Linked DNA regions of Caenorhabditis elegans. The protein of the gene in region 1 purifies or fractionates together with the protein of each later gene. This does not show direct contact. Each region holds a gene or a part of one and is shown in the gene's direction. Other genes may lie near its edges. The genes, in order: vig-1, nhr-37, ZC196.2 and cey-1.

What was found.
Region 2: the proteins of vig-1 (region 1) and nhr-37 fractionate together in Caenorhabditis elegans (co-fractionation; one large-scale study listed by BioGRID). This does not show direct contact.
Region 3: the proteins of vig-1 (region 1) and ZC196.2 fractionate together in Caenorhabditis elegans (co-fractionation; one large-scale study listed by BioGRID). This does not show direct contact.
Region 4: the proteins of vig-1 (region 1) and cey-1 fractionate together in Caenorhabditis elegans (co-fractionation; one large-scale study listed by BioGRID). This does not show direct contact.

The regions. Positions count from the first base shown.
Region 1 is NC_003280.10:1,317,646-1,325,566, forward strand, and holds vig-1 (Hyaluronan/mRNA-binding protein domain-containing protein), read left to right. Parts: upstream 1-3,391; 5' UTR 3,392-3,502; coding exon 3,503-3,566; intron 3,567-3,687; coding exon 3,688-3,801; intron 3,802-3,848; coding exon 3,849-4,032; intron 4,033-4,090; coding exon 4,091-4,517; intron 4,518-4,568; coding exon 4,569-4,916; 3' UTR 4,917-5,428; downstream 5,429-7,921. Other genes in the region: fcho-1 (FCH domain only protein 2), read left to right, coding at 526-652, 732-976, 1,053-1,506, 2,107-2,333, 2,381-2,440, 2,484-2,609.
Region 2 is NC_003283.11:6,618,252-6,626,552, forward strand, and holds nhr-37 (Nuclear Hormone Receptor family), read left to right. Parts: upstream 1-3,942; 5' UTR 3,943-4,016; coding exon 4,017-4,186; intron 4,187-4,235; coding exon 4,236-4,294; intron 4,295-4,888; coding exon 4,889-4,950; intron 4,951-5,002; coding exon 5,003-5,197; exon of another isoform or gene 5,198-5,204; intron 5,205-5,250; coding exon 5,251-5,556; intron 5,557-5,603; coding exon 5,604-5,698; intron 5,699-5,944; coding exon 5,945-6,060; intron 6,061-6,107; coding exon 6,108-6,259; intron 6,260-6,307; coding exon 6,308-6,406; 3' UTR 6,407-6,525; downstream 6,526-8,301. Other genes in the region: ppt-1 (Palmitoyl-protein thioesterase 1), read right to left, coding at 6,526-6,723, 6,936-7,034, 7,298-7,388, 7,438-7,608, 7,668-7,905, 7,955-8,054.
Region 3 is NC_003283.11:8,736,636-8,745,064, forward strand, and holds ZC196.2 (Major sperm protein), read left to right. Parts: upstream 1-2,800; 5' UTR 2,801-2,801; coding exon 2,802-2,976; intron 2,977-4,397; coding exon 4,398-4,638; intron 4,639-4,705; coding exon 4,706-4,820; intron 4,821-4,863; coding exon 4,864-4,977; intron 4,978-5,033; coding exon 5,034-5,354; intron 5,355-5,552; coding exon 5,553-5,624; 3' UTR 5,625-5,676; downstream 5,677-8,429. Other genes in the region: ZC196.3 (DUF713 domain-containing protein), read left to right, coding at 39-131, 181-264, 309-470, 516-632, 677-727, 842-997, 1,047-1,235, 1,284-1,463 and 1 more.
Region 4 is NC_003280.10:11,038,848-11,046,221, reverse strand, and holds cey-1 (CSD domain-containing protein), read left to right. Parts: upstream 1-5,015; 5' UTR 5,016-5,094; coding exon 5,095-5,109; intron 5,110-5,475; coding exon 5,476-5,982; intron 5,983-6,094; coding exon 6,095-6,199; 3' UTR 6,200-6,874; downstream 6,875-7,374. Other genes in the region: col-83 (Nematode cuticle collagen N-terminal domain-containing protein), read left to right, coding at 254-412, 460-528, 1,181-1,405, 1,452-1,646, 1,695-2,087; srlf-15 (SXP/RAL-2 family protein Ani s 5-like cation-binding domain-containing protein), read right to left, coding at 6,882-7,127, 7,185-7,277, 7,357-7,374.

The DNA.
Region 1 (7,921 bases):
TAAAATTCTGAAAAAATCAGAACTTTCGGCGGAAAATTGATCCAATTTTGAAATTTTTGAGTGAATTAGCATTGTATTCCAAAAAAAAAAAACTAATAAAAAATAAAAATTTTAAGCTGACAACAAACAGTTTTTAATATTGGTCTGCTAAATCGAAAATTTTAGTTTGTAGTCTAGCAGACCCAAACTTTTGTGTTTTTAGATTAAAAAACACAGTTTCAAAGAAAAAATGCCTGTTTTTACCAAGTTTCTTGGCTTTTCAGCTCAAATTTCCCGGTTTTAAATGCGAATTTCATAGATTTCTCAACAAAAAAATTCAAAATTCCATTAAAAATGGCTGAAACCTCAAAATTTTGACAATTTGTAGGGTCTGCTAAATCGAAAATTGTAGTTTGTAGCCTAGCAGACCCAAATTATTGTGTTTTTGGAGTAAAAAAGCACGTTTTTACTAATTTTCTTGAAATTTTCAGCTCAAATTTCCGGTTTTTGAACCTATTTTTGTAGTTTGTAGTTGAAATCTTTCAGGATCCCTGGACGATTGGCGGAACAAAAGCTCCACTGATGTTCTCTCAGTCGATGAATGTCTCTTCCCTTCGGCAACCTCTACGCTCACATCACACTGCTGACGGACGGTTTAGGACTAATTTTAGTGGTAATTTAATATTCTTTCTTCGATATTTTAAACTTTTCTAGTAGAATTTCCTAAATTTGAAAAGAAATCCTAATTCCAGAATCCGAGGATCCTCCTGCCTTCTCCGTTTCCATGGGTCATAACCAGGCGATGGCGGCCGGAATCGCACGAGCTCGGCCCCGAAGCAACACTCCCACCACGAGCCAAATGATGAGCCGGAAGGACTCGGCGAGCAGCTTTATGGATCCGTGGAGTAGTACTTTCAATTTGGCGCCCAGTGAATCGAATCATTCCCTTGGAGAATCCACGTTTAATTTGTCACAGTCTACCGGGAATTTATTGCAGGTAAGGCTTCAGGCTTCAGGCTTAAGATTCAGGGTTCAAGAAACTCGAAAATGTTGATTTTTTTTTCAAATTTCAGGCCACAATATCCGAACAGCGAATTCCGCTAGCCATGGCCATCAACGAGCACGTGCATGTTTGGTTCAAAAAAGGAGCCGAAGAGTTCATTCAGCGCACTTTCGGCACCGTAATGATATCATTTCCAACGTCATCAATAACTCTTCTCACGTCCATCCAACACGAAATTGAGCCACTAGCATTCCGGCTCTCAAATGCTAAATTCATTAAATCAGTGCTCCCCAACAAGCAACTTATCGATGAGAATGTGAGCAAAAAGGACGACGAGATGTGCATTTTCTACTTTAACAAGACCCATCTTGCCACGTGGCTTCAAGCACAGAAGCTCGCGAAGCCGGATGCGGCATTTGTGAACGCGGAGGTCGCGCGGTTCGAAATGGAGCCGACGGCACCGTGTAATATGGTTCCGCCGCTATTCCTGACGTCGTACTGGAAATTCGAACCTGGACACACTGGTTCGTCGAGAAATCTTCTGTGTTTTTGAGAAAATTTGAATTTTTAATATTAATTGCGAAAAATTGATGGGTCTGCTAATTAAGAGTTTGTAGTTTGTAGTCTAGCAGACCAAAATTTCCTAAAAAGCGCAGTAATTGATTGGTCTGCTAAATAAGACTTTGTAGTTTGTAGTCTAGCAGACCAAAATTTATTAAAAACTGCAGAAAATTGATGGGTCTGCTAATTAAGAGTTTGTAGTTTGTAGTCTAGCAGACCAAAATTTATTAAAAACTGCAGAAAATTGATAGGTCTGCTAAATTTGATTTTGTAGTTTGTAGTGTAGCAGACCAAAATTTATTAAAAACTGCAGAAAATTGATGGGTCTGCTAATTAAGAGTTTGTAGTTTGTAGTCTAGCAGACCAAAATTTATTAAAAACTGCAGAAAATTGATAGGTCTGCTAAATTTGATTTTGTAGTTTGTAGTGTAGCAGACCCAAATTTTTTATTGAAATTGGCAAAATTGCTGAGTCTGCTAAATAAAATTGAGTTTTTTGTAGTACTTTTTAAATGCAAACGCCAAAAATAAAGCCTAATAATAAAAATCCGCATTTCTTTTCAGATCTCCGTGTCGACTATCGCCTCAACTCAGAATCTTCCATCTCGGCGCCACTTCTCAACGTGAATTTCAGCACAAATTTGACGGGAAGCGTGGATTCTGTGATGTGTGAGCCAGAAGCCAAATGGGTGGCTGGAAATCCGTCACTCGGCTGGAATTTGCTGGAAATTTCAAGAAATGGAGATGTGCACGGATCGCTGAAAGCAAGGATATTTATGAAGAATTCTGGGGTCGGGCTTTTTAATTGCTTTAAAATAAAAAATATATAATTTTCCAGGACGAAGTAAGCTTGGAAATGCTCGATCGGAAGCCGGCGCAGGTCTTCGTGCAATTTCAGGTACTAAAAACTGAAATTTAAGCTCTTAATTTATCTTTTTCAGTGCCTGGAAGCCAATCTATCTGGAGTGGACATTTCCCTAGTGCAATCGGATATTTATCACCTGTCTATGATTCGTAAAAAGGTGCTCGCTGGTAAATATTTTTGTGATCCCGAGCTGCGGAAATAGAGAAGATGAAGAGCTTTTTAATTTGATTTTTGTTTTAATTTTTCTGTGTAAATATAGCATAATTCTCGCGAAATCTGTGATTTTAACAAACTTTCAACTTCTAGTTTTCCAATTTTTCACCACCAAACGAGTTTTTCCACTATTATTCGTTATCCCCCGCTGTAATAAATACTTTTTCCCGGCATTTTTACTTTTTTTACACACATTTTGGGCTGGAAATGTCATAAATTTCTTTTCAAATACTTTAAGACAACAAAAACAATTGGAAAACAAGTTTTCCCCCAACCAAAAATTGATTGAAAATGGCCGAGGACTAGTTTTCGATTTCAAACTGCCGCCCATTTCGGCGGTCGCATTTGGCTGCGTAGCGGCTCGCAAACGCCAGTTTACACTATTGTGATACGCAGCCAAACCTTCACCTGTCCGATTTGAACAGTTTTTCCGATTTTTTTTGACCGTTTTCGCCGGTTTTTTGTAATTTTTTGGGTTGCTAGCAGTAAATCACCGATTTTTGATCAAAATTGCACTGAAAAATGTTTATTTTATTCCGAAATAGTGGATTTTGAGCAATTGTTGATTTTCTGACTTTTGATTCGATTTCTTTCTGGAACATTCAAAAATTCCCTTAAGAAAATGCAATTTGCTTTTTTTATTTTTTGATTTTAGTTGTGAAAAGTGCTTAACTGATTTAAAATATCGCAACGGTGTCTGGCTAATTATACTCTTTTCTTAAATATCGATTTTTGTTTGAAAATTTGAAATCTAAACTAACGTTCTTGCAGGTATCCCCATATTATGGGTTATTGATTAACTTGGCATTGAAATTATTGAATTGAACAGAAGCTTCCTGCACTTGGAATCTTATCTTCATCGAATCAACACAAACAGCAAAAATGAGCACTGAATACGGTTGCCAGGTCACCAACAAGTTCGGTCTTCCATCCGACGACGACGATGGTGAGTGGTTGATGATGATGATCGCCGGATGATTATCTTATCTTCCCGATGGGATATTGCGCAATATTCATATGCGATATACTCCGCCCAGAAGACATTATAAAAAATCGATAATTTGCAGAGTATGACGACCCAAGAGAGCTCATCCAAAAGGTGTCTCAAATCGCCGCCAAGAAGAAGGAGGAAAAGTCTGTGAAGCCCGCCCAGCCGGTCAAGCCAGCCGCTGCTCCAGTTGGTAAGAATTGGCATTCCTATTCTTAAATTAATTAAACATTATTTCAGCCGCCACCAAAACCGACGGTGCTGCTGGACGTGGACGCGGAGGACGTGGTCGCGGACGCGGGGGAGCCGGCCGTCCACGTGACGGAGAACGTGTCTCCAACGAGAACGGTGATCGTCCACAAGGCGAGAACCGTCGTGGAGGACCCCGCAGAGGCGGTGAGCGCGGTGCTGCTCGTCCAGCTGGGTAAGAAACGCTTAAATTTTTAATTTTTTTTTTCATTTTACTGAACTTTGTATTTTAGACGTGGAGGCCGCGGAGGATTCACTCGCGAGAACAGAGAAGGAGAGGAGCCAAAGCAAGAGGTCTCTTTCGAAGACGGACAAGATACCCGTGCCCCAAGACGTCGTGGAGGATTCACCCTTGGAGGTGGACCATCTGGCGGACGTGGAGGAGGCCGTGGTGGACGTGGGCGTCAATTCGATCGTCAATCCGGATCCGACCGTACCGGAGTTCGCTCATTCGACAAGAAGGACGGACACGGAAAGGGCAACTGGGGAGACCAGAAGGACGAGTTGGCTGGAGAAACCGAGAACATTGCTCCAGAGGGCGCTGAGAGCACCGAGCCAGAGGTTCCACGTGAGAAGACCGCTGAGGAGCTCGCCTACGAGGCTGAGTTGGCTGTTCTTGCCAAGCAAAAGACTCTTAAGGAGTTCAAGGCTGCGGCTAAGGTGAGTCGTATAAAATATTAGTTTTGGAATTTATTTTTTTTTTTGTTTCAGGCTGACGCTCCAAAGTTCAACACCAGAAAGGCCGGAGAGGGAGCCGCCGATACTTTTGGCAAGCTCGTTCCAATCAAGAAGGAGGTCATCCCAGATCGTGAGGAAGACGAGGTCGTCGTAATCCACAAGGCTCCAAGAAAGCAAGTGCTCGACATTTCGATCACTTTCCGCAACGATCGTCCAGAACGCGAGCGCAACGACCGTTCTGAGAGGCCGCAACGTGGAGGACCAAGAGGAGGTGGACGCGGTGGAGGCCGTGGAGGACAACGTCAAGGAGGTCATGGAGGACGCAACAACACTCCATTCAACGCTTCTGACGATGCTTTCCCAGCTCTCGGTGCCAAGTAATTCCCCCCCCCCCACTCAACGACCTTCAGCCAACCAACCAATTCGCCCGCCCTCATTCAAATGCTCTGTTCTTCTCTCCATCTTGTTTTCTTCAAAATTCTCCTCTTTTCAATATCTTTGCCTGTGCCCATCTACCCCACAAATTGTTCGTTTCCAAAATGCCTGTTTCTTATTTTTCTTTTTTTTCTAGTTCCCCCATTTAGCTTGTTGTTGTTATCACCTGCCTTATCGATCTCTCTTCTGATGAGTTGCCCTCGATTTGGTTTGCTTGTTATCTCCCGTTTTTTCTTTAATTTTTAAGCCCTTTGAATCCCTTGATCTTCCACATACACCCACCAAGACGACCTCTTCTTTACCAAATATTTGACACAACAAAAGGTCTCAATTGTGTCAAGGATCAACGAACTAGTACTAGGAAACTCAATTTGTGCCCCTTCCAACCACCACCCCATTGCGCCCAGGTTTCGTTTTAATTGGAGTTTGTTGTTAACAAGATTTGATAAAGCATCATTTTTGTGTTAAACACCCCAATCATTCTATATCACACACACACACAAACACCCATTTTTCTTCTTTTTGCCTCCACACACCCCCCCCCCCCCCCCCCACCCAACTGTATCCGTATTTTGTAATAAAACGGTCTAAACCAACCACAGGGGCGTGGCCTGACACATGCCATTTCTAGGCCGCGAGCCGAGTGCTCTGATTCTCTGCCGCCTCTTTTAGAGAGCCGCGACGTCTTCTTCAGCGGGAGAGAGGGAGCACCCCCCCCCCTCCCCATTGCTCGGCAAAAACTTTTGCTCTCCTTTCACTTCTTATTGATTTCCCTTCTGTTAGCCGCCTAAATTAGAATTTTTAATTCTTCAGATTCTCAATAGAGCGAGCTTGCGTTCGAAATAATTTAATTTTTAATTAAATCTTCCTGCGACTCTTCTCTCTTTGGAAATTGCTATTTCGCAAGTTTAGTAACGATTTTATGACAGCAGCGGCGTCCGAATTTGAAATTGAATTAGGTCCCCTGAGAAGCTTTTTAGACTATAAACTACAATTCTGAAATGGCAGACCAATGAGAATTTGGTCTGCTAGACTACAAACTAGAGTCTGTGTTTAGCAGACCCATGAGCTTTTGAAGAGTTTTGGTCTGCTAGGCTACAAACTACAAGTCGTATTTAGCAGACCCAAATTATTAGAGTTTCGTATGGGTCTGCTGGACTACAAACTACAATTATTTAACAGACCAATCTTAAATTAAAAATTGACTGAATTTAGGGATTTTTTTTTCAGTTTTTAGCTCTCAAGACACTGTTTACAGCAGAAGAGAAGTACAATTCATTTTATTTTTAAAAAAAATGCTCAAAAATGGTTTTTCCCTTAAATTGGTCTGCTAGACTACAAACTACACAAAAGAATTAGACCCAAGCTGACGTGAGTTTTGGCCGATTTTTGAAAGTTTTATCATGTTTTGAATGAATTGTGCTGCTGTGTAACAGATAATTTTTCAAATATTCAGTTTTTGTCAACATTTTGCGAAAATTAGAGCTTCGAAATGGGCCCCCCAAATTGGTCTGCTAGACTACAAACTACATTTTGTATTTAGCAGACCAAAATCTTGAAGACCCCGCGAAAAGTTGTATTTTTTCTCCAATTTCCCCTTCCTTTTCCTAATTGAATTCCGTGCAATTCAGTGCCCCCCACCCGAAGCTTCTTCTCTTGTCTGACCTAATTTGATCTACCGGGATATCGGAGTGTCGTAGTGCTGCCACGTCATTTTTTTCTGTGTCTCCTTAAATACATACTAATTTTCAATTCTAGAGAATAGGAAATTTATGTAGACTATTAATATTAATGTTTAAATAAATTTATGAGGAGGGTTTTGTGTTTTGGGTCTGCTAGGCTACAAACTACGAAAATTTGTTTAGCAGACCCATTTTTTTTCGATTTTTCGATTTTTTTTTTACTTAAAACTACACTTTGTCTCGTTTTTTAGCGATAATTAAAAAGTTCTGACTCAATTTTCAAATTTCCGGGGTACTGTAGCGCCACAAGTACGCAAACACCGAGCATCTTACGACAAAATGCACAGAAACTTAAAATTGTCTGAAAAAGATGGACCAGGGGGTAAAAAAAGGCCCTGAGTTTGAATTTCATAATGAAAAATTGCTAAAATTCATAGAATTCAAGTCATTTTTTAGTTTCTAGTTATCAATTTTAAAAAGTATACGTTTTTTCTAAAATTCCGCTGTAAACTACAAACTACATTTTGCCACGTCATCGTTTTATGCCCCATATCCACGTATTCATTAGAAATTCTGTAATTCCTGAATTCATTTTGGCATGCATTCTATCTATAAAAAAGAAGATCGAGAAGAAGAAGAAAATGAAAAAATTCGGCGTCTTCATGTGCTCCTTAATCTATTCCAACATTTTTTTTTTGGTCTGCCAGACTACAAACTACAGATTTAGAACTAGCAGACCTAAGCTTCTTGCTCAAATTTGAAAATTTCCGAAAAAAATTGCAATTGTTTTTCCAAATTTCCCGTTTTTCGAGAATTTGAACAATTTTTCCCGCGTTTTCTGCACAATTTTGACGTTTTTGGGTTACTGTAGCGCCAAAAGTACGCAAACACCGAGTCTCTCACGCGAAAATGCACAGAATCTCAAAATCATCGGAAAAAACAGTCCCAGGGGTGAAATGAGGCGCTGAACTTGAATTTGACAGTTAAAATTATCAAAAAATACCTGAAAACATTGAAAATTCAATTTTTTTAGTTTTTTCTTTCAAAATTTCTTTTTCGGAAGATATATTCGCCTGGAAATAAATTATAGGGCTATATATTAAATTTCTAACATTTTTCTTATGTTTCCTGCTCAAATTTGTCTTTTGGGGGGTACTGTAGCCCCAAAAGTCCGCAAACACCGCACACCTTACGCGAAAATGCACAGAATCTCAAAATCCTCTGAAAAAAGTGTTCTAGGGGTGAAATGAGGTGCTGAGATCGAATTTC
Region 2 (8,301 bases), on another chromosome or scaffold:
CTTGTTCTATTTTTAGGCGATTAGTTTTGTTCATTTCGCGCCGGTGCCACAAATATAGTACTCAACAGTCACAGTTCGCAGACCCCACTTTCCGTGGTTTCTTTTGTAGTACACGAGAATGACCTCGTGGGGGATGAGAGTTGTGGAGAGAGAACAAGAAAAGAGAAGATGCTCTTTGTACTGGATTGTTGTTTGATTCGTTGTCTAGTCTGTTTATTTATGTTTAGATCAACATCAAAACTCATATGAACAGTCAGAAATTTGAAAGAACGGCAACTCGGGTGAAAATCGAAAGATCAATTTTTGAGTTGAGCTCATTATCAATGAAACAACAATGTTGACTGATGTTTTAAAATTTGTAGGGGTCACTCGGAAAAACAATCGGAAAAACAATAAATGAAATTTTGTATGTAATAAAAAAAGCGTGCTTTTAAACCGCTTGTTAGATTTTTTTCAAATTGGGGGTTTGGAATCTTTGAAAACAAGTTTATTTCAAAACCATTCGATGAACCAAGACAGGAGTGCAATCAAAAAGTCTGATAATTTTCACTTCTATTCAAATTTTTAAATTTATGAAATTTTGCCAAAACATAAACTGCCATTTAAGTCATTTTCTGAATACAAACCCGAAATTTGAGGTTCAAAAATAGAACAATGTGTAACCAAACTCTTAAGCCTGCTTTTAATTATGCAGAACTTATCGACTTAGTTATTTTGGTGTAACTTTTGGCAATCGGCAATTTTGGAAATCGCCGCTTGTTTAGTTTTCCGTTACGTCTACTTGTGAATAGGCACAAAACTGACCTAGTTTGTCTCGGAAGCAGACAACATTTATCTGCATGAGAGAACTAGTGCAATCGTATAAAAAGTTTTCAAAAAAATTCGTATAGAAAATTAAGAGAAGCTTGGTTCAGATACATATTCTGCAAGTTTCAAACCTACTTACGATAAAAAATTTTCAAGCTTCTGTTACAACTTCTTCTTTATACATTTCTGCTGCAAACCTTTAATTCCTAAAATCTGACACAAATCCGACAAGTGCCCTCAAAATTCCATTCAAGTACTGGGGACGTAAGATATCAATCGTTGATCGTTAAGCGCAATAAAATCACATAAGACGATCGAGTCTAGTTTGAACGAAATTATTTTCATTTTCGTTAATTAGCAACGTACCGTAGTTCAAGCCAATCAGCTAAGTGGTAGCTTAATTGAAGACCGCCTTTCAAAGAATGTAAGGAATGGTTTATATAACAGTTGCAAAAACATTTTCTTTCGGCTTCATAAAAAATCAATGTATTATTGAAATAATTGGTGGAGTCAAAACAGATTAAAAATGTGACACACTGTTGTAGTTAGTAGTTTCATCTATAGGTTTTATTTCCGAAAAAAACACTATTATACACCAAGAAGTATATTTTTCATTGTTGATAATTTTCATCAAACATAATGGAGATATATATCAAACCGGAAAGTTGAAAGTAAAACTCTAAACATGCTACTAGAATGGAATAATGTTTATGGGCATCAAAAGTTAGAGTGAACTTGAGAATTTTATTTGTGAGTGATGTTAGGGTGATTTGGTTGGCCTGTTAGCCAAATTGCAGGAAACATAAGGCACAAACGCAGTGAGTAATCTACCGTAAATTAGACAACATCTATTTGGGTTGCAGCAGAGATTTTGAGGCTATGCAAGAAAGGATGCTTGGGAATTATTGGAGTTGAATCTTGTAAAAATACTATTTCCACGTTTAGTAATGCATCTTATTGCTCAACCCTGACAATCTTTTGTTTTGCAAAATGATTTGCCACTGACAAAACATGTATGATTTTTCTTCAAAAGTTTTGTAGTTAATTAAATTTAAATATGGTAAAGTGGATGGGGTGCAAGAATATAATGGAATCGTCAAAACCGTGAAATTAAATTGCAATATATTGAAGTAATGGAAATAGAGCAAAGGTTCAGTATCATTCAGTATCATTTGTACATGCCATATGTTCCCTATTATACTTGCACATCCTTGCTGCACTTTGGCAGTTAATATCTTGGTTTCGTTTGCTTTTGTCAGAAAACTGTAAACTGACAAAATACGTGCTAAATAATCTTCTGTATTTCACTAACAGTATATTTGTGATTAATTTTAGTACAACCGAGATATGAGCCGTCAAAGTAAAGCAATTGGGGTACAAATCCAGTAGGGAAAATATGGTAGACTTGTTAACTTGAAATTAGTCTTCAGTTTATGTACTATAGGACTAAACTTATTTGTATTTATTTTTTTTTAACTTGAGGGAATAGTTTTCCTTGACATGCATACTTAATAAAGCGGTGAATTGAATTTATATGAATAACATTGTTGTACTAGTTGTTACTTTGATGCTACTTTTGCAAATTGACAAAATATCATGATATCTCGGAAAATATGCGAACTACATATTTGGCAAATTTATTACTCATCGGGTAAGAAAATCGGAGAAAACATATCTGATGTCTATCAACTGATCTAAATGAATAGAAAAATGATTGTTCCCAATTGAATCAGTCTAGATCAGGAACTTTTGAAACATATATACAGTTATATGCCCTAAAAATGAACAACTTTCCCCGTCAACAGACACAATATTTTTCTCTTTTTCTGGTCTCCATGTCCTATTTCATGAGTCAAGTGTTGTAGAGGGCGACGATAAGACATCGGGCCCAAACGCATTAACGAATCATCTTGCGGGTCGGGAGGCGGGATCTGTCAAAAGTTTGCAGCGTTTGGCAAAGGTTCGAGGCTGGCAATGAAGATGCAAGGATGGTGGACGGCTACCTGCAGATGACAGTCTATCGGAGACGCAGACTAATCAGATGACATTAGTCTTTTGAAAGTTTTGCGGAAGTCCAATTCGGCGAACACAGGTCGCGTGTGAATCGATGCTCGTAGACCGAGTAGCAATTGACAGCTAGAGATTGACAATTTATGAAGAGACGCAGACAGATGTGAACATAGAAACGACAAAAGACATACATGTTTCGAATTAGATGGACAAGATCGGTTGCCTCTATATAAAGTAGCTCAACGTATTTTATCCAAAATTCTAAATCGGTCACTATCAATCTAGCAATTCTAAAATGTTTTTGTTTCTGATTTTCCGCAATTCCATCGAAGTTACAATTTTGACTTAAAATTTTCTATCACAAATCATGTACCAATGTGTGCACTTTTAAAAAAATTGTACAATGTATGTAGCAGTAATCAGAAGGGGATTGTTTTCCTATAAAATTCAAGAAAACCCAAAATTCTCACATTCCGAAAATCTTTTTTTTCTGACTTTTTTCCTTTTTGGTTCATCGAACATAAAAACATTTTGAAACAAATTTTTGAGGTGGTCTTTTCAAGTGGAAAGTAAATTCAAAATCTTTTATCATCAGATCGAATATGAAATTTCTGAGTTTTCTATTTTAAGAACTTTCAGTATCTATAGTATCCCTAGGCACATTTTTAAAACGTTTCATACAACTCCAGCTAAAGTTTTCTGAAAATACGGTTAGCCAAATTCACCACTTCATCCTGATAATTGTCATTATGCTTTTCCTTCCACTACAACTAGACTATCTCTTTTCGGAAGGGGGTGAGATTTTAATTGTTTGTCTGAGATTCCTACGTCTTCGACCAGCGTAACGATCAGAGAACATGCCGACATGACGTCTTCCCCCAGCCGAAAATGTCTCTCTTCTGATCTTGCCTTACATGTGAAGAAAAGTACCAAAAAATTGCTGTGATAACTTTGTGATTTGAGGCTGGGTTTTCAGTCTCAAAATTTGACATGTAGGTACGTTCATTTTTCCTTCAAGTTTCCCTCTTTTTTTTTCTCAAATATAAACCCTTTTCGGTGGTCACTTGATCTTTTCCTCTCCTCTCTACGTTTTTCATTTCTCTAATAACATATCTGGTAGAGATCTCTTAGAATGACAACACCCAATTTGCATATTACAAAATGATGATCACACTTTTTTTCCTTCTCAGAATCTAAAAATGGTACCTGACAAGTCATGCTTGGTTTGCAAAAAAGCTTCAAATGGAATGCATTTCGGTGCACTCACCTGCCGAGCGTGCGCCGCATTCTTTCGAAGGGCTACTGTACTGAAATTACAGTATAAATGTAAGCAGGGGAATTCAAAATGCAATATTGATGGTCGTGGAAGGTGAGTTACTATAGTCTTCAAAATCAGAAAATTCACGTTTTGTTTATAGATATGTCTGCCGGCAGTGTCGTCTGACAAAGTGCAAAGCAATCGGGATGAATGAAGAGAGTATGTTTTTTTTTCCAAAAAAATAAAAACTTGCAAGATTTTCAAGTGCATATCGTGCACATCAAAAAATTTTACATCAAAAGTTTTTGTGAAAAATTGTTGCGAAAATTGGTTTGACAAATTTTCAAAAACTTCATGTGAATAGGTTTTGTGGAATACGCAGAAAAATAATTTTTTCTGAAAAATAAAAAATCCTAACAAAATTTCTAGATCATCTCTATGTTTGATTTTTACTCTTTAGGCTTAGAAAGGATTTTTTCCGAAGTCCGAAAATTACAAAAATATTCCAAAGGTTTTTTTTATAGCTTAAATAATTTCAAAATGAGGGCATTAAATACAAAAGTGCCCTATTTCCTTTTTTTACATAATGTTGAATTTTGAAAATTGCTAAAAATCACCACTCATTTTTGCTAGTGGTGAAATAACTAAATCCTTTCCAAAACACAAATAAAATTTCAATTACTGTCAAAAATTTTGCTGCCATTCTTTTGGAATTTAACCAAAAGCGTTTTTTTCTGCAAATTTTACAGAGTCCAATTATTTTTCTCTTCTTTTTTTCTCTTCTTTTTCTAGTAAAATATACTCATTTTTCAGAAGTTCAATTGGACTATGACCCAACGTACTCGTTTCGCGGTTTGATGGAGGATAGTGGAAGTGTGAGTTTTGTTTTTTAAATTAAAAACAATTATTTTATTTACTACATTTCAGGACGAATTCTCTACGCCAAATGGAAGCCCAGCTCAATCTGATTACAGCCCGACCAACTTGAGCCGGAAGAACTCGGTGGAGTCACCTGGAATTGATCCGAACTTTTTGTTCACCTTCTCGCCAAAAACACCGGATAAGCCGAACATGGTTATCAGTTTTAATGACTTGGTGAAGAAAATTGAAACGTCATTTTCGGTAAGTTGAAGCGAAAAACATTGAAAGTGAAAATTTTGTTATTTTATGTTCAGCATAAAACAAAAGGCGACGATTGTGAACTGACTACTTTGACGTCTGCATTGAAAAAGTTTAGGAAAAATCAAAAAGCTCAAAGTCAAATCTCTTTTCTTGACAAAGTCGAGCTGAAATCTGCTATTGATTGGCTCAATGATCGAATCTATATGTACTCTTGTTGGTTTTCCTCTTCAAAATCTTTAATGTCTCTACCCATGGATCAAAAAATGCAGCTCTTCCGATCTTCTTGGAATGTCGTTAGAACATTTGAGCGCCTAGAAATGTCTGTCAAGATTTTTGAAGAAGGAGTCATTCGAGGAGGAGTGAGAATAGTTTTTAATTATTTTTAAAAATATCAACTGTTTTTCAGTATATACTTATCAATGATGATCTCGCAATGAAATTGGAATCAACTCATATTGACTTTGCCTCGATAACTGATCTCACGAATCAATATTTCAACAAGTGAGTTTTCTGTTTCAAAAACTTTGAAATGCCCACAATTCGCTGATTGAAATTTGTCAATGTTCTGAAAAGCCTACTCAAAGTTGCGTTGGTTTTAGGATCACATTTTGATACAGCATTTTCTTTACTATAAAATTAATTGAAATACTGAAAATTCAACAAAACAATTTTTGCCGCTATGTCGAGAAAGATATAATGATGAAAAATCTTTGAACATTTTTATATTTGTATTTTTGTAATTTTCAGACTATTCGAACCCTTCCTACACCGTTACATAGATGAAGTTGCAAGGCCACTTCTTGATCTCAAGCCAACTACGGAAGAAGTCGTTTTTTGTATGGTTCACCTTATTGGACTTGAAGGTAAAAAAAAAAAACATCAATCAAATTTTTATTAACTTTAATTTTAGAAGGTGATCTTTCTCATGAAACACGAGAAGCTTGCGAACAAATGCGAGCAGAAATTGCTGACCAAATGCACGTTTATTATACAAATCGGACGGATATCAAAATGTATTCTCATCGGCTTCTGATTCTTATGAAACTGGTCAAATCCATGAAGGTTTGCCAAATTTTTTTTTAAGTTTTCTGATTTTCCCCCTATTTTTAGAGAATCTCTCGTGAGAAATCAAAGATCAAGGAGCTCTTCTGGCTTTTTGACATCTTTCATGCCGAAATCTCGGAGCCGTATTTTTTCGAGATGTTTTAGAAAATGATGGGAACCCAAATCAAGAAAATGCTCACACAACCAGTCATGATAATTTCATAATTCATTTTTACGTACGAGTTTTACAATACGAGTTGTTTCTTTTTGAAAATCAAACAAGTTCACATAAAATATTTTTTGATAATATCGTTGACAAGCACACTTCTTGGAATTTGCAAGTGATCTCCATCCACGTCCATAAAATGGATTCGTCCACTCTCATGAAGCTTCTTCAATCCAATACGATCCTCTTTGTACAGGTCGGTTTCGTTCATTGGGAGAATTGTGTCAATATCACCGTCTTTGTAGAACCCGAACCACTGGAATAAATTATTGAGACTTTATAAAATATTTCAGCGTGAGAACCGTGACAGGTGGTACAAAATGTCTGTTGCCTGTGTGGCTCTTTGTACCCATTAGAATGAGAATACTCGGGAAAACTCCGGCCTGCATTAACAAGCTTTTGGCGACCCTCGCCTATAGGCGACTATAGTCTACTTTCGGAAACTGCAAAACAAAAAAAACCACTCACAGATGAATCCTTTGGTACAACCATATGATCTTGATTGAATTTCACCAGAACCAGGTTTTTGAGACTCAATAAGTTGCGTTTGTAAGTCGGGTTGTTATTCTGAAACAAAAATACTTTTTTTTTCAATTATTTTAATGATTACGATTTTCTAACGATTTTGAAATTCAAATGTCAACCGGCAGGAATAATTTTTAGAAAAGAAAATAAAGCACCACCGTTCATTAAACTAATCCCGGCGCATCTTTTTACAGAAAAAGTTATAATTTTCAATCACCAAAAACAGTTTTTTCAAAACAAAAAAGGACCAAAATGTACAGAAATTATTAATTAATACTTCAAAAAAATGTTTTAAAAATCCTTACGTTTTCGTTATTGATATCAGCCAAGAAAATAGAACGTTTTTTATACTCTTCGACTTGATTTGGGTCGTGCCAGTACTGGGCTTGAACAACTCTAGAAAACTGTTAAAAATAATGAAATGAAAGACAAAAAATACTCGTACCGTTTTTGTACAAATGGAAGATAAGCTCCCAAGTCAATGAGACGTCTCACGCCATTGCACATAATATTGTCACCAATGCAGTACGGGGCTCCAAAAACTCCTTGATGTTGACCACCGACTGACACCAAATTCTTCATTGGTGGATTTGGGCATCTTTGGGCAACCGCTCTCCTGAAAAATTGCCGTTCTACAAAATTTTTTAAAATTTAAATTCAATAAACGCGATTTACAAAAACTGTGCTCCTTGTGAGAATCCGATCGCATTATATCCATTCTTTAGTTCAGGATCGTTCTTAATTTTGATACATGCCATATAGACAAGTTCATTGGTATTTGCATAAAATCCATGCTCAATGTCTTTTGTAATACTAGATCCCAATTGAAGACTGTGAACGTAAACTCCAGGAATTTGCTCCTCGAATAGTTTTTTCACAGATCCCATAGACAACGGATTGCAACAACAGTCACCTAAAAATCATAATGTTCGCACTTTTTCAGTAATTAAGTTACAACTAACCCATTCCATGCCACATGACCACTGGAACCTGCTTTGTAGCATTCCGGAATTCTGCTGTAGTTATGGCCAGTAGGCAAAGTAGAAGGGGAAAATATCTCATTCTTCAAGAAAACGAAGAAATGATTAGAGTGGGGTCAAATGAGAATGGACAAAGAGGTCGGCTGTTTGGCTCAACAACTGATAAGATAAGATTAATTGGCTCATTCGGGTTTATTGATTGATCATGCTAGAAGGCAAAACAATTGATAGAGTTTTTCGATTGAATTAATAATGAAGTTTGAAATCCTGAAAATAAAACCAGAATACATGACAATTTTTAGCTTTATAATTTGCTTGGCTGGCTTGAA
Region 3 (8,429 bases), on another chromosome or scaffold:
AGCAATTTTGAATATTATTTCTTTTCATATTCCAGAAAATGTCCTCATTTTTTACATTTTTTAAAAAATCTGTACCCGCCGTTAAAATAAATGTGGAAATGATTGAAAACTTCAATAAATGCGATGGCGAGGTAATTCTTCATTAATTTTCACTAGCGATTAATTTTAAAAAAATCACAGGGTAACTACAAGAAGTTTTACAAAGAAAATCTTGATTTTCTTATGTCACTAAACACTTATCTTGAAAAAACATCATTTGATAAAGTGAGTTCTATTAATTATACATTTCGCTATTGAGTAAGTTTCAGGGAACTCTGGAGATATCGCTCTGCAAAAATTTTATACCATTATTTGATTATTTGTCTAGTTGGAACCCTGAGAGTTCAGAATTTGAAATGATCGACACCTCATCACTTGAAAAATATGTTCCAGAAGTTTTAGAAGATTTAAAATATGCGATTTTCAGCTCTGTGAGTTTTTAACTGAATCCTTTTTGAAGATCGGTTTCATTTCAGAATTGGACTGATTTTTATTTCAAGTACCGAAGTGCGGTTGATACAATCATTGAACTATCCAGAAAACAAGGAACCGTTGATATTTCTATTCAGATTGGTAATAATTCATGTGAAAGTGTAAGTTTGGAATTAAAGATCGAATTAACCATCTACACTTTCAGTTCAAAGACAGAGATTTTCGTAGGTACACTTATTATAAACTGGGAAATATTGTGAGTATTTCATACTTTGTTTTTTTTTTCTGCAGATTACAAAAAAATCATTAGAATAGTAGTTGTAGTAGAATCATTAGAATAGTAGTTGTAATTTTAGGATTCATATTTCAGTCTGAAAAACCAGAAAACCGTGAGTTTGAATCCACATGCCAGGACGAAATAGATTCATATATAGATGATCAAAATTTTGAAAGGAAGTTGGAACAACAAGAGGCAATTAATTCCAAAGAATTGGAAGAGATGAAAAAGAAAAGAGAATTGAAAAAAGTAATGATTGGAATAATTTAAAATTTCTAGCAATGTTGTATTTTTATAGAAAGAGTTCGAGGCTGAATTAGAACAAATTCAAAGTCAAATGAAAAATCGTTTTATTGCACTATTTGAATGTATCAGATTAAAACAAAGATTTGAGGAAAAGGAAGAAAAAGTTGCTGATTGGATTCAAAATTGCTATAAGCAACCGATCAAGAGATTCCTAGAATATTTTCGAGATTTTCAGAATGTGGTAATTTGCATTTGCTAGTGTTTAAACATAATTTTTTTAAACATTTAGGCGCGTGAATGGAAATATTTTAAACGCTTACCGTCGGAATCACTTCAAGATGCATATGAAGAAATATCAATTCTTTCAGAATGTGTATTAAGCCTATTTGATACTCTTGAGTTTCTGTTTATCCAACTCGGTGAACAACATGACATAGCTACAGATGCATTATTCATCAAAGTTCTACAGGTACTCTCGTGTGTATTATCTTTCCAATGAAAATCCAATTTTCAGAAAAGTATAATTGATTTTGCACTTGTTTTATCATCGATTCTGAATATTCTTGATGTGAACGCCCCGTCCCACGAATGGTATAAACAACTCGAAAAGTTGTTTTTTATGATAAAGCTCAGTGACATTCCGACAACAACATCACTACGAAAAATTTGCAAAAAAGCCGTCGTTTCCAACTATGAGCAGTTAGAATTCCCGAAGATACACCTCAAGAGTTACGTCGTGATCCACGAACAAGACAATGTTCAAGCAGAAGAAGTTTGTACTTCTGAAAGTAAATGTGTTATTTGTTAAGTGATATAGATAATTTATATTTATATTCACTTCATACATACATATGTATTTACAAATTATATTCACTGAATGAAAAATTGATTTCTTTTAATCGACATACTTCGATGCCTTCAGAATCACAAATAAATTATAGAAACTTAGAGAAATTTAAACAAGTTTCTTGCCTTTGGAGGAAAATTGAAAACATCCAAAAAGTATGATATTTTCAAGGCAGTTTTCTACACACCGTCTCTGTGTTCATCAAACATCGGAGATCTGCTTTCATTTTCCGTGTTCAAAACAGTGTTTCGTAAATCTACTTCGTCTCTTTCAACAACCCTATCTATCCTATCAACCTATCGCTGGTTAGTTTTGACAAAATTAGGGAAGAGTCTAATGTTCAACCTAATCAGTTTTGCAGAAGGTAGAAAACAGAGTTGAACTCACATTGAGACGTCGTAGAGAATAAAACATTTAAAAAGTGAAATCGTGGTTTTTATAATCTCTCAAGTTTCGAATATGTTTTATCATGATTTGTTTTCTTCTAACTGTGGAACTTTTTTTGCAATTTATTTGGAATGAATTTTTGTAAGATGTTGAAATATGTACACAAATCTTAGCTATCTTTTAGCTATTGTAAGTAATTGTAAATGAATGTTTGGGGTTATAATAATTACTAAAAAAAACGTTTTTAAGATGCTGAAAATGATGTTATAATCTTTATGAGTTTTTGAGTGAGTTTTTATTGAAAAAAAAACACTCAGAAGTGGAAGACTCCATAATTATACTTGTGAGCATGATTTTATGTTTTGAAGACAAAAATATTGTGTTCTCAAAATAAAAAAGATTTGTTTAGTTGTGTGATCAACATTAATTTGTAAACAATCTTATCAGCATCTCTCTCGCGTTTTAGTCATAGCAATTCGTAGCGTTTGTTCTTTCGAAAAACGTTTCTCTCATTTTCTTGAAAGTTTCTTTGCTCTTTGAACGTTTCTTCGCTAATTTTGAATGTGTTCAGGAATGTGTGGTAAAACAATTCTTCTTGAAGTGACTCCCTGCGACAATTTTGTGTTCAATAAATCAACAAATCTGACTGATACTGCCTATGTTACTCTGAAAAATATATCTGAGAAACCAGTATGTTTCAAAGTGAAAACGAGTGTACCAAATATGTATGTCAGTCGACCAAATCCTGGTAAGTCACATTTATTAGAAAACTTTTCTCAAAAAATTACTTATGTATTAGGGTGAGCAATAAGTTTTTTCGTATTTTCTCAGTTTTCATCCTTTCTCAAATATTTTGTATGTGGTACATAGTATTCTGTTAGTAGTGCGAAATATATTGATACCATATATTTCCGCCCACTTCCAAACTGATTCATCCTCAAAACTTCGCTCGAAAAAAATATCCAATTTTTTCGATTTTTTCGGATTCTTTGGGAAATCCAAATGTCAGTACTCCGTGAGGTATTAGACCATTAGTTGTATACATAATATTAATTAAATTCAGAACTGAGCAGTATTAGATACCTTTTTCCCTTTTTGTTCAAAAATATAAAAAATATTACAAAAAATTACAGCAAAAAAAATACATTTTGATTTTGAGAGGGTATAAAACCGACATCGTAAAAAAATATAAGTACGGATGAAACTGCAATGTTGTTCTTCAGATTAATAGCAACATTTCTGCAGTTGAACACTTTTTGATATCTAAAACCAGTAAAAAGTGACAGGCTATTTAGTCAGAGGCACTCATTTTCGCTGAATCTGCCACATTCTTACGTTTGCCTACGTAGTTTTGTTAAATCTGAATTTATCAAAAACATTTTTCACAAAAACGACCAAACTTGTTGAATATGAAATCACAACATGTAATAATGTGTTTTTTGTTTTTGTCTTAACTTGATTTTTGCAATACGTGCAATTCGCAAAGTTATCTTAAAATTTTTTTTTCTCGAATTTTTTTGATTCAAATTTAGAGAAATTTTCTCAATCTTTGGTGTTTTTTGTTCCAACGCTTGTAACTTCCTGGATAACATTGTTATCAAAAACTGATCAACTGAAAAGTTGTGCACAAATATGTAATAAACAACATTGCAGTTGAACACTTTCTGATAAATTAAGATTTAACAAATCTACGGAGGCAAATGTAAGAATGTGGCAGATTCAGCGAAAATGAGTGCCTCTGACTCAATAGCCTGTCACTTTTTACTGGTTTTAGATATCAAAAAGTGTTCAACTGCAGAAATGTTGCTATTAATCTGAAGAACAAGATTGTCGTTTTATCCGTATTTATATCTTTTACGATGTCGGTTTTATACCCTCTCAAAATCAAAATGTATTTTTTGTAATATTTTTGAACGAAGGAAATTTAGTAAAATTTGGATTTCCCAAAGAATCCGAAAAAATCGAAAAAATTGGATATTTTTTTCGAGCGAAGTTTTGAGGATGAATCAGTTTGGAAGTGGGCGGAAATATATGGTTTCAATATATTTTGCACTACTAACAGAATACTATGTACCACATACAAAATATTTCAGAAAGGATGAAAACTGAGAAAATACGAAAAAACTTATTGCTCACCCTAATAAATACAATTTGAATCTACTGCTTCAGATTTGCTGAAACCTGGAGAAGCGAGGCAATTATCTGTCAAGTTTCGATCGAGCGACAAAGTTAGCCTGAACGCAAAATCATACAAGCTCAAAATAGAATCATGTGAATTTGAATCTGAAGATATTGATGATTTGAAAAGTTTCTGGAGCAGCATCCCTAATGAGAAAATACTTGTCCATAAGTCACCTATTATTCTTGGGACTGGAAGCAGCCCAGATTTTAGAAATGATCAAATTGCATCGTGAGTTTTCGTTTTTCTTAATTGAAATATCTTAAGAGAGATCTACTTCAACAATAATTTTTTTTAGAGAATCTTCGAGACAATCATCTCCTATTCAAAATGTTTCTGATGATGGCAAAAGTTCACATCATTCAACAGCCAAACAATTACAAGAAAATAATGAAAATTCAAAGAGCTTAAAGGTTGTGTTAATTTGTTACCTAAAAATAACAATCATAGTTTTAGTATACTAAACAACTGGTTGAAGTGCCTTTAGGCGAAAATCAACAAGCTGATCAAACTGGAACCACCTGTGATAAAAAAGACGAGTTTCAAAAAAAAAATCAATTGGAAGTTGAGGTTAAAATTAAAAAATATATTATTTTTAAAAGTTCTTTTTATAATTTTTTTTGCAGATAAAATTTGTGGATAAAATTCATGAGATCAAGTCCCAATTAGAAGACAGTTTTGAATTAAAATTGAAAGAAATGGAAATGAGACTGGAGGAAAAGTTCGAAAAAAGGATATCAAGATTAACACAATTTATGGAAACAATAAGTTTGTCAAATAGTCCTGGGAACTCTAGACGCGTTTTTGAATTGGACGATAATTTTTCAATAGTCGCAAAAAAGGAATTGGAACAAATGCGACAAGATTTCGAAAAAGTGCTAGATGGGCAGAACAAAATAGCAGAAGAGAAAATGAATGAGTTGAGGAAAAGAAGAGAGGAGCTTCAAGTATGAATTTAATTTTCATTTGAAAGAAAAGTAAAGTTGTTGCGTGGTTTGTTTTTAACTTTGAACGCCCAAGTTTTTTTACCGAATTTAAAATTTTAAGGTTTTTTATTGAAAAAAAATCAATTTTCAATTTTGTATTCGAATAGAAACTTTAAAATTATTCAAGGGCCAGACCACCAAAAACATGCATTATTACAGAGAGAATCAGACGAATTGAGAACTATGGAGGAACAACTTGGCATAACGGAAAGAATCTTCTGGGCGAATTGATAAGAAATTACTGTTTTTTTTATTTACAAATTTTAATAAAATTTAGAACTTTTTGGAAGATTATAACAATTTAAACAATTGCCTTTTACATTTTCTCATATCAGGTGTAGATGACAACCGCATAAATGTTGGACAATGTGGTAAGATTTTCGCGGGACTTTACGAGGACTTATAAATAGAACACACCTGTTAATTTGATTGTATTTAACTGTAGATTCTGATTTTTGGTATTGTACATATGATAGTTCTACCGTTTTGTTTGTTTTCCAGTGAATATTTGTTGCAGATAGAAGATAAACTTTCATTATTCATAGTTTAGACATAAGACATAAACCCCTCCCAAATTTAATGAAAGTGTGAGATGATTGATTTTTCTTTCGGTATTTCTCACATTTTCAATAAATTCTTTCTCATACCTATTTCATGTACACAAACTCTTATCGAAAACACAATTTAGACGTAGCAATACATTTCACTGTTCTCTATCTCTCTTCAGTCACTAACTTCATTAGTTTCACTGCAAAACAAAAAGTATTCCAGAAAAATGGTCCAATATTTTTGTTTTGATGCAGAAATGATTTCTTGTTTTAATGAATGCACTGAAACTGTAAGTTTTCAATATATTGTTTCATATTCTAAGTATCTAATAATTTCAGGGCTACTTTGATGAATTTCTAACAAAATATGACGCTTCTATAATAGAACTTGGTGATCAACTGAAATATGTTTATTTTCCAGCAGTAAGTAAATACATAAATGGCTAATCTATATTTCAGTTAAAGAGCACTGCCTGTAAACACTATTGTACGAATTTCAAGAAATTTTTCAATTACTTCCTACACTCACTATCAGTGGTCAACAACTTTTCTCTAAACATGATGCCGGGATTGAAAATGAGAAGACTATTGTTTCTTTTCTAAACGATTTGAGACATGCAATTGATTCAAAAGTTAGTCTATATTGATTTCTTAAGTTAGATAACAAGATTATGCTTCAGAACTGGGATGTTTTTTATTTCAAATACCGAGATGTTGCTGATTTGATAATAAAAAAAGCAAGACAACAAGGAAGAGTGGATGTTCAAATTGTTTCTAACAACGGAAAAGTGTTGGCGAATGTGAGTTTTCAAAAATAAAATATATCATTAATGTGTCACTTTACAGTTGAAAGACAGGGATATTCATAGTTTCAAAAGAAGAGTATAAGCAAAAGCACATGAATTCGGTTAGTTCATAGTTTATTTGTAAAATGGGAGGTTTGTAGTGAGATCCCATAAAAAGAACAGATTTATCAACGTTCATTGTTTTGTAATTCAGTGTGAAAATTTTGCAGTAAAATGTTGACTTGTGGGAGATTGAGAGGAATCAGAAAAACACTGAAGTTCTATTTTATTCTAGCCGATAAGTCAAACAAGAAATAATGGTCCTATTTTTAAAAAACGCCCACCCATAAGAGTCATAAAGCATCAAAGTGAATTAGCAAACATCGACTCTCCTCAATTACGGTAATTCTAATTTACTTTGGAGACAGATAACGGATATCTACTCATTCAGAACCCCGGATCGAATTAAAAACGGAAACACTCCATCTGCAACAAATTCAGCGACCTCATCACAAAAAGATTATCTAAAAACTTCCATTCCTTCTGCGAACGTTACGTCTACTGAAAAGACAGAATTTGGATCAGCCAAAAGCAGTGTACCCCGAGTGACCTGCAATTCAACTAAATTGGAAACTGCTCAAGCGACTCATGAAAATATTGTATTGGATCCTAAGAAGAGCTCTCAAAATACATTACGATCAGATAGTTATCCTGATACCGAAAAGAAGAGAATCTTGCCAAGGAATACTTCAAATTCACATCACGAAATCTGTAATGATGTATTATCACATCAAGAAAAACACGAAGAAGAAGGAAATAATGAGCCAAAAACTGTTAATGAACCCATTGAAAAAGTAAACGAGAAATGGAATTCAAATGACACTGAAAAAATAGATGAAATTATTGAAAATCTTACGATTTCGATTGATGCAATGAAAATGAATATATCACAAGAAATGGTAAGGAGATTAAAAAACATACACTACGTTTAATCAATTTGTTTTTAGGAAAAAAATAAGGTAAATAAATCAGAAATGAATAATTTCGAAATAGAAATGATATCTTCAATGAGCGAGTTAAAACAAAATATGGACAATAAAATGCAAGAAATGATGCAACTTATGAAAAATTTTGTTCAGTACGTTTGTGAAAACATAATACTACAATTTTAGTAATTTTTCAGATCAGGAAAATCAGAAAATAGTATGAAGACAAATGCAATCTCGGAAAACACGATAAATGATGTCCACCAAGAGCAGCCCGATGACAAGTTTGATCCATTTTAGAAAGAATATTTTGAGCTATAGTTGCAGACATTTCAGAAATTCAACTTCAACATTTGAAAACGGTGAAACCAGCGATGATATCAGCGCCGTCGATTTTGAATTAGTTCAGAACATTCCACAGCAAGATCAATTAAATGTAAAAATTAAAAATTAGTTGCCTATTTCTTTCGTAAATTATTTTTAGATTACAAATGAAAACGATGACGATTCAGAATCAAGCATTTTTTATTCAATTGGCAGAACAAAATCGATTGTTTAGTTTCGTCTTGATCAAGTAAGAAATGACCGTGAAAATATGAACGTGAGTACATCAAGATGCTTCCTATAATCGACTATAATTCATTCAGCGTGAGGCAGAAAAAGAAATACAAGAGAGGCTGCGAAGAATTCGTAAATAACTTAATTTAGCGTGTTGTC
Region 4 (7,374 bases), 9.7 Mb from region 1:
GTTTTTTGTTTCCCATTCCCTCTATCCTACTACAAAAGTTTTTTGTTTTTCTTAAATCATCATTTTATTAAGATGAAAAATCGCCAATTGTTTTTTTATTCTTAAGATGAGAACACGAAATCCTTCTCCTTCTCTACTAGTTATTCACACTTTAGAATTGAATACTCCACACACTTATTCTCTATTAGTGTTTGCATATCCTTCCATCCTAACAGCTATTCAACTGTTTCTTTCCGCTCCTTCTAGGCTTCTGATGACGTGGCAGCAGCAGAAGCATAGACCGGAAGCAGATGACGTTGAAATTCGGACACTTCGTGTCGTGACTCTCATCTCTGTCGGGATTACTGTAGCTGCGATATTACTTGGATTATTTGGCAGTGTTATTTTATTTGCGAAGACTTTGACGTTTCAGGTTTCAATAAAAAAACATAATTTCAGCTAGCTTGAAGTCTATTGCAGAACGAACTAGAATATGAGCTACGATATTGTGTGTCTAGATCTCACGATTTATGGGACATTCTGTCTCAGGTTAGTTTTGTGGAAAGAAGCCATTAAATGGGCGGAGTCTATTTTAGCTTTTTATTTATTTTTTAGAATATTTTTCGGAAATCGAAAAGTACTCGAAATATATTAACATACAGGCTCTGCCCATTTCTTGGCTGTTTTACATTTTCACAACAATTTATCCAATTTTTGCTGAGTTTCAATTTTTTTTAAAATTTCCTTTCATGTTTGCTGTAGTGTAAGCACAAACTTGCCTTATTCCTACCTTCAAGGCGACCTATGACTGCCTTGCGCCTACACAATAAGCACCGTAGGTAGGCGATAGGAAGGCATGAGTGAGGTACTAACGACGCCTCGAGCAGAGGAATGTTCGAAAAAGTGTCTAGAAAATGTAAATATACATTTGTCAGAAATAAATCAAGTTTTTTTTTCGAAAATCAGAAAATATTTTTTAAAAACCATTTTTCACAATTTTCGTGATAGCTTTCTACTACATATTTTCTATTTTCTGAAATTATTTGTATCGTGATTCCGTAAAATTTTGACATGCCAGTTTAAAGGTGCATGCGTAAATTCCGGCTGGGTCTCGCCACGATCTCAGCCACAGTGTCTCAGCTACAGGTGGCAAATTCTACAGATTTTATAATTTGATCTAACTTTACGGTTCCTTTTCCAGCTCGAAACGTCAAAAGGAGTTGCAATTTCCCAACGTCGAAAACGCCAATTCTTCATGAATTACTGTAACGATGTGACAAATTGTGGTGGACCATCGGATTGTGGTCAGGAGACTGGGTGTGCTATACATCCAGTGCATTCATGTGGTGGAGGTGGAGGATGCTCCCAGCCAGTTGTAGTTCAGCAGCCAGTGATTCAACAACCCATTGTTCACAGCCCACAGCAGGTGGGTAGTTCCTGCCTGACCTGAGTTTTTTCATATTTAGTTTCAGCAATTCTGTATTTTCGGTCCACCTGGGCCTCCTGGAATTCCGGGCCTTGATGGAAATGACGGGGACGATGGATCCGAAGGTTATCCTGGTGTTCCTGGAGCTAATGTTCCAGATACCGTACTTCCAGAAATTGATGATTTCTGCTTTGATTGCCCACCAGCGAGAAGTGGGCCGCCAGGGCCTCCAGGACCAAAAGTAGGCCTATTTGTTAAAACTTTTCAATCAGTCAGTCTTTACTTACAGGGCCCCCGCGGTACTCCAGGTCCAACTGGCCCAAAAAACTTCTATATTACATCAGGCCCACCAGGCCCCCCAGGTCCTCCAGGCCCACCCGGTAATCCGGGAGGCATTGGTCCTCGCGGCCCACCAGGTGATCCAGGCATAATGACTCAAGACTCAAGAGGTGTCGAAGGACCAAGTGGACCATCTGGACCACCTGGACCAATGGGGTTTCCTGGACCGAAAGGAATCGATGGATTTTCACAAGTGGGCTCAATGGGTCCACCTGGAAATCGAGGAGCTCCTGGTCGTGTTGGCTTGAATGGCCCGAGAGGCCCACCAGGAGATATTGGGCCTCCTGGGTCTGCTGGAGGATGTTCGGCTTGTCCCATTCCACGTGTCAGCCCTGGTTACTGATCAATTGGCCTCAATCTTTGATATTTCCCATGTAATTAACTAAATAAATGGTTGGGATAAATGGTTATCAACAAAAAACGCACAATGACGTAATCAAAAAGGCAAGGCCGAGATTGTCGAAGATTAGATTTTATCTGAAACTGCATTGAATCACCCAGTATAACCAATGATGCAATTTTGACACTAGCATAATTTTTGTTTTTAAAAATATTTTATCCCTGCTCCTAGGGTTCCTTTGATGAAATTGCCAACTTGATTGCGCAAAATTTCAAAATGAAATTTTTTTTAGATATCAATTTTGATTTAAACATTTAAATTCCGTTCAGTTCCCGGCAAACGCCCACTTTTTCTGTGCCTGAAAATTTGATGCCTACCGTAATCATCTTAAAGGCGCATACCTATCAAGCGATGGGTATCGAAACGATTAGCAAAATTTGATTTTTCTAATATTTTTTTTTCGAACTCAAACTTCTTTTTCTTCATTTTCGCCTTTTTTTAAAACGTTTTTCGAGTTTTTTTCTGCAAAATTATAAAATTAAATAATTTTTTAGTGTATTTTCATCAATTTTCTCCTCTTCCGCGGTGTCTTCCCGCTCAAAAACCATTTCGAACAAGGTTTCCGACTGGGTGGTCTACTTTTGTTTGTTTCCCATCAATAAATCCACGGGAATTCACCTATTTTGTCTCCCGCCGATCTAATTGTCGTCCTCCAAACAAAAAAGCGAAGAAAAAATGTTTTCTTCGCTCGCATTTCTTAATCCCCTTCTGCGTATAGTTTCTAATTTGTTTCCGCATTCTAGCTCTTTATTTCAACGTTTTCAGAGATTCTTCAGATAAATTATGCATTATTTAGTTTTGTGCAGCACATTTAAGCCGAGAGAGAAAAAGAGCAAGCACTCTATCGATCCGCCAGCAGCAGTGCGTGAGTGCGTGTGCGTGTGTGTGTGTGGGGGTATGTGAGTGTGCGAGAGAACCCTTTGCGCTCTTCTTCTTCTTCTTCTTCTCTTCGTGTGTATGAGGCCAACAACACAAGCCCCGGGCCGACCGAAACTAGAGAGATCGGAGACCGAGAATGTGCAAGGAACGGCGAAATAGCACCAGCAGGGGAAGGGCGGACGGGTCGAGCAGTGGTGGCCTCCCAGTCGAAACTACGCATACAACACGTACCCCTCGGTGTTCATTTACTCTCTCTCTCTCTTCGCTTTCGATTGTATTTGAACCATTCGAATCGGCCGTGTTGTGACAGTGCTCCGGCTCATCATCAATTCGCTTATCAAATGTTTATTGTTTGCTCGTTCACTATCTCTTTGTTTCTTCATCTCTTTCTCTCTCGACCATCTCATTATTATTCTGCGTTGCCTACCTTCCTCCAGTTTTGTTCAATATTACAGTGCTATTCGTTTCACCAACTACTAGTATTTTACCATCTCACTTTGCTCGAAAAATACGCAAACCCCCCACCCAAAAACATTCAAGCTAACACAGGGCAAACAACGGCGTTGTTGGTATGCTGCTGCAGAATGTTGCAAGGTCAAAAGGCATTGTAGCACGGAATCGGGTCAAAAATTTTCTTGTTTCGTTTCGCCGCCTTCTCCTCCTCCCAACAACCACCTGAACATTCCTAAATTCGCAATTTTCGGTCTTCGAGAAAACAATCGTTGTTTATTGGGGAGTGTTTCGGAGAAGAAGTTTCTAGGTTTAGATTCTCCCAAAAATTTGCTTTTCTGGTCTTTCAGAAATTAGAATATGGATGTAGATTTACATATACCTTCATTAAAATTCGCATATCTATGAAAACGGGTTTCCACGACAAACTGAGTCAAATATTCAGGATTGCTCTTTTTTATTAGAGAAAAATATTTAATTTTTCAAAAGATACCCTCGCAAGTCAGAAATTTTTATCTTAAATAGTAATTTGATTAAATCCCCTATTTTGAGTCTTAATAGTTCGAAAATCATGTGTCTCTGCCTCTAGAGTTCTCTAAAGTCACGCGAAGTTCTTCGAACCAAAAAAGGATTGAAACCTCATGTTCTTTTTCTTCTTCCTCCTCTTTCTCTCTTCTAACCGCGCACACCTCTTTCATTTATCGATTATTCTGTTTTTGTTCTCTATTTTGTCAGCTGCGAGGCTCGGGGCTCAGTGAAGAGAGCTGCTCCGGCGTGTACTTCTTCATCAACCAATAACTTTTCTGTTACACTGACCGCTGCTCATCCGTCTCCCGCACCTCTCAACATCTCTCTCGTATCTAACAATCGTTTAATGTTGGTGTCCGCATCGAAAGGTCAGCTTACACACTCGCACTCATTCGCCCCCACTACTTTTTCTCTTATTACTCTTGTTATTAGGATGAGAATGAGGAGAATAATTTGATGTTGAAGGCAAAAGCTACCGCATACGTAAAAACTGTCAATTTCAGTGTTAAGTTTTAAAATGAAAAATTTGCATTAAATATGCAGAAAAATGCTTTTTCGATCTGAAAATAATATTTATTACTTGAAAATTTCGAGAAAAAACTACAAGTAATATATGAAAGTCACTTCTAATGGCAAATTTTTCAGGTTGAACAAACGTTTTCCTACATTTCTAAACTAATTCCTGATTTAAAAATTAAATTATCACATTAAAAATAACATTTTTGTGAAAATATTGAAACAAGAAAGACTGACGAAGCTCTTAATAATTTTTGAAGGTATAATTTTGATAGAAAGTATGAAAACGAAAAATTAAATAATTATTTAAAACTTTCCACCCCCGTTTTATGATTTCTCGACCAAAAATGTCCCTGTGCTACACCGGATAAAACGTATAATTTTTGTTTTTTTTTCCGCTATTCCCTATGATTATCAATTTCTTTTCTTTTTTCTTCCAATTTGAGCTTCTTGACCCCACACAAATTTCAACTCTTCATAATTTTCATATTTTTTCAGCGAGGGTTTCAATCGTTGTGTCGCGCCACACGAAGTAACAGCCGGTAAGACCAGAGGAAGAACAGAAGCGCGCGGAACAATGGCCGAGAAAAACGTAAGTGTGTGTCTCTATGATCTTTGATCCGACGAGGCTACTTTTCCTGCGAAAGGAGAGCACGCGGAATGGAGGGTCATCGGTCAACGCGACCACCACCACCACCCAAAATACAAATAAAATATTTGAGACAATTTTCGGAAAACAACACTTTCATTATTGCGGTCAGCTGACGTTTTTTGAAGTGGCAATGTTCCTTGAGATTTGAAAATAACGAGACAAGAAAAATGAGCTCTAAAATTCGTTTCTTTCCGAGATCCTAATAAATCCAGAGCAATTGAGCTCTAAATATGAAATTTGAAAATTTCTAAATTTAAAGCAAATCTTGCAATTTTAATTAATTTCTTAATTATCGTTTTATTTCAGGACGTGGCAGAGCAACCAGCTGACAAGCCAGTGAAGGCTACAAAAGTGAAGGGAACAGTGAAATGGTTCAACGTTAAGAACGGATACGGATTCATCAACCGCACTGACACCAACGAAGACATCTTCGTCCATCAGACCGCCATCATCAACAACAACCCGAACAAGTACTTGAGAAGTCTTGGAGACAATGAAGAGGTCATGTTCGACATTGTCGAAGGATCCAAGGGTCTCGAAGCGGCCAGCGTAACAGGACCAGATGGAGGACCAGTTCAAGGATCCAAGTATGCTGCCGATCGTGATGCTGAAAATGCAGCACGTGGACGTGGTGGACGCGGACGTGGACGACGTGGAGGACGTGGTGGAATCCGACACGACTCTGGATCAAGAGACGCCGAGGAAGGTGGTGCTCCACGTGGAGGTGGTCGTGGTGGAAGCCGTCGTGGTGGCGGTGGACGTGGTGGTGGCCGTACCAACAGTGGTGGAGAGGAGACTGCTCGTGACACAGATGTAGGTTTTTTTGTTTTGTGGGTTTTAAAACTAGTATTTTTAGATCCAATTTTTTTTCATTCTAAAATTCTCAAAACTCTAAATTGATCGAAATTTAACATCCATATTTTAGGGCGGTGAACGCGGAGGACGTGGTGGTGGCCGTCGTGGAGGCCGTGGACGCGGTGGACGCGGTCGCGGAGGCCGTGGAGGACAAGGCGGACAGAGCGAGGCCTAAGTAATTTTCCAGTAACCAGTAACACTCGTAGTAATTAAGAGAGCAACTAGGTTTTTATTTCAACCCCCAACTCCCCCAATTCATCTCGCCACACACACACCCACAACTTTGAACTTTCGCTATATTACATTTTCCCTTATTCTTTCTTCTTTCTTTTGTTTTCCTAACTCGTGAATTATTATTGCAGTACAGTTACTTTAAGCTCCCCCTCTAAAACACGTCACAACCTGAATCATTCTCGTAATTAAACCATTCTCCTCCCAACAAAAAAATATATAATTCTACCTGTTTCGCTTTCGGATTTCCAAAACTTTTCTTGTAACACCATCAACACCGAAAATCTCTGTAATTCAACAAGCAAGCACCCACACACACACACCAGACCAACTGATGACTTCCCATCTTGTTTTTTTGTGTTGCTCTGTCTTTCTGAGAGTATATTGCTAACAGAAAAACGAGAAAGCATAATATATCTGTACCCTTTCCCCCTTTTTTGAGAGAATCTTTAATGTTCAAGTACCTCTTCGCCCTTCATCTTGAAATAGTTGATATACATACATTAAATTTATTTTCCAAAAACGATTTCTATTATTGCTCTTGCTCTGCATTTTGAATTGACTCAAACAAAAAAAAAGCAAAAAAAAATTAACTAAACAAATAAATTAAGTATTATTTAGACGAGTCACTTGAATCCCTTCAGCTTCACATCAAACTCTTTGCGGATGGAATCTGGAAGCTTCGAGTAGATTTCTTCGATCTTCTTGAGCTTCTCCTTCTCCGGTTGAGAAGGATCATGCATTATTCGGACGACTCGTTGGAACTCTTCCACCGCTTCTTTGCTCATTTGGCTCACGGCACGATCCACGTTGCGACGCTTATCCTCGAGGTCTTTATCAATGACGTCACGTCGGTAGTTGGTGTACATGGACTGGAATATACGTAGCTACAGTACTCCAATTTTGGAAACCAATTAAAAAAAACTAACCTGTCTTTCGTCGGACATTGTCTTCATGAACTCTTCGATTTTTTTATTCTTCTCGGCACCGCTCCACGTTGGATGCTGTACAATTTCGTAGAACTGCAAAAAAAATTTTAAAAATAGAAATTTGTTTTTTTCCAAAAAGCTTGGCAACGCGTCAAAAATAAGAGGAACTGACTTTGTCCTGATCGCCGAC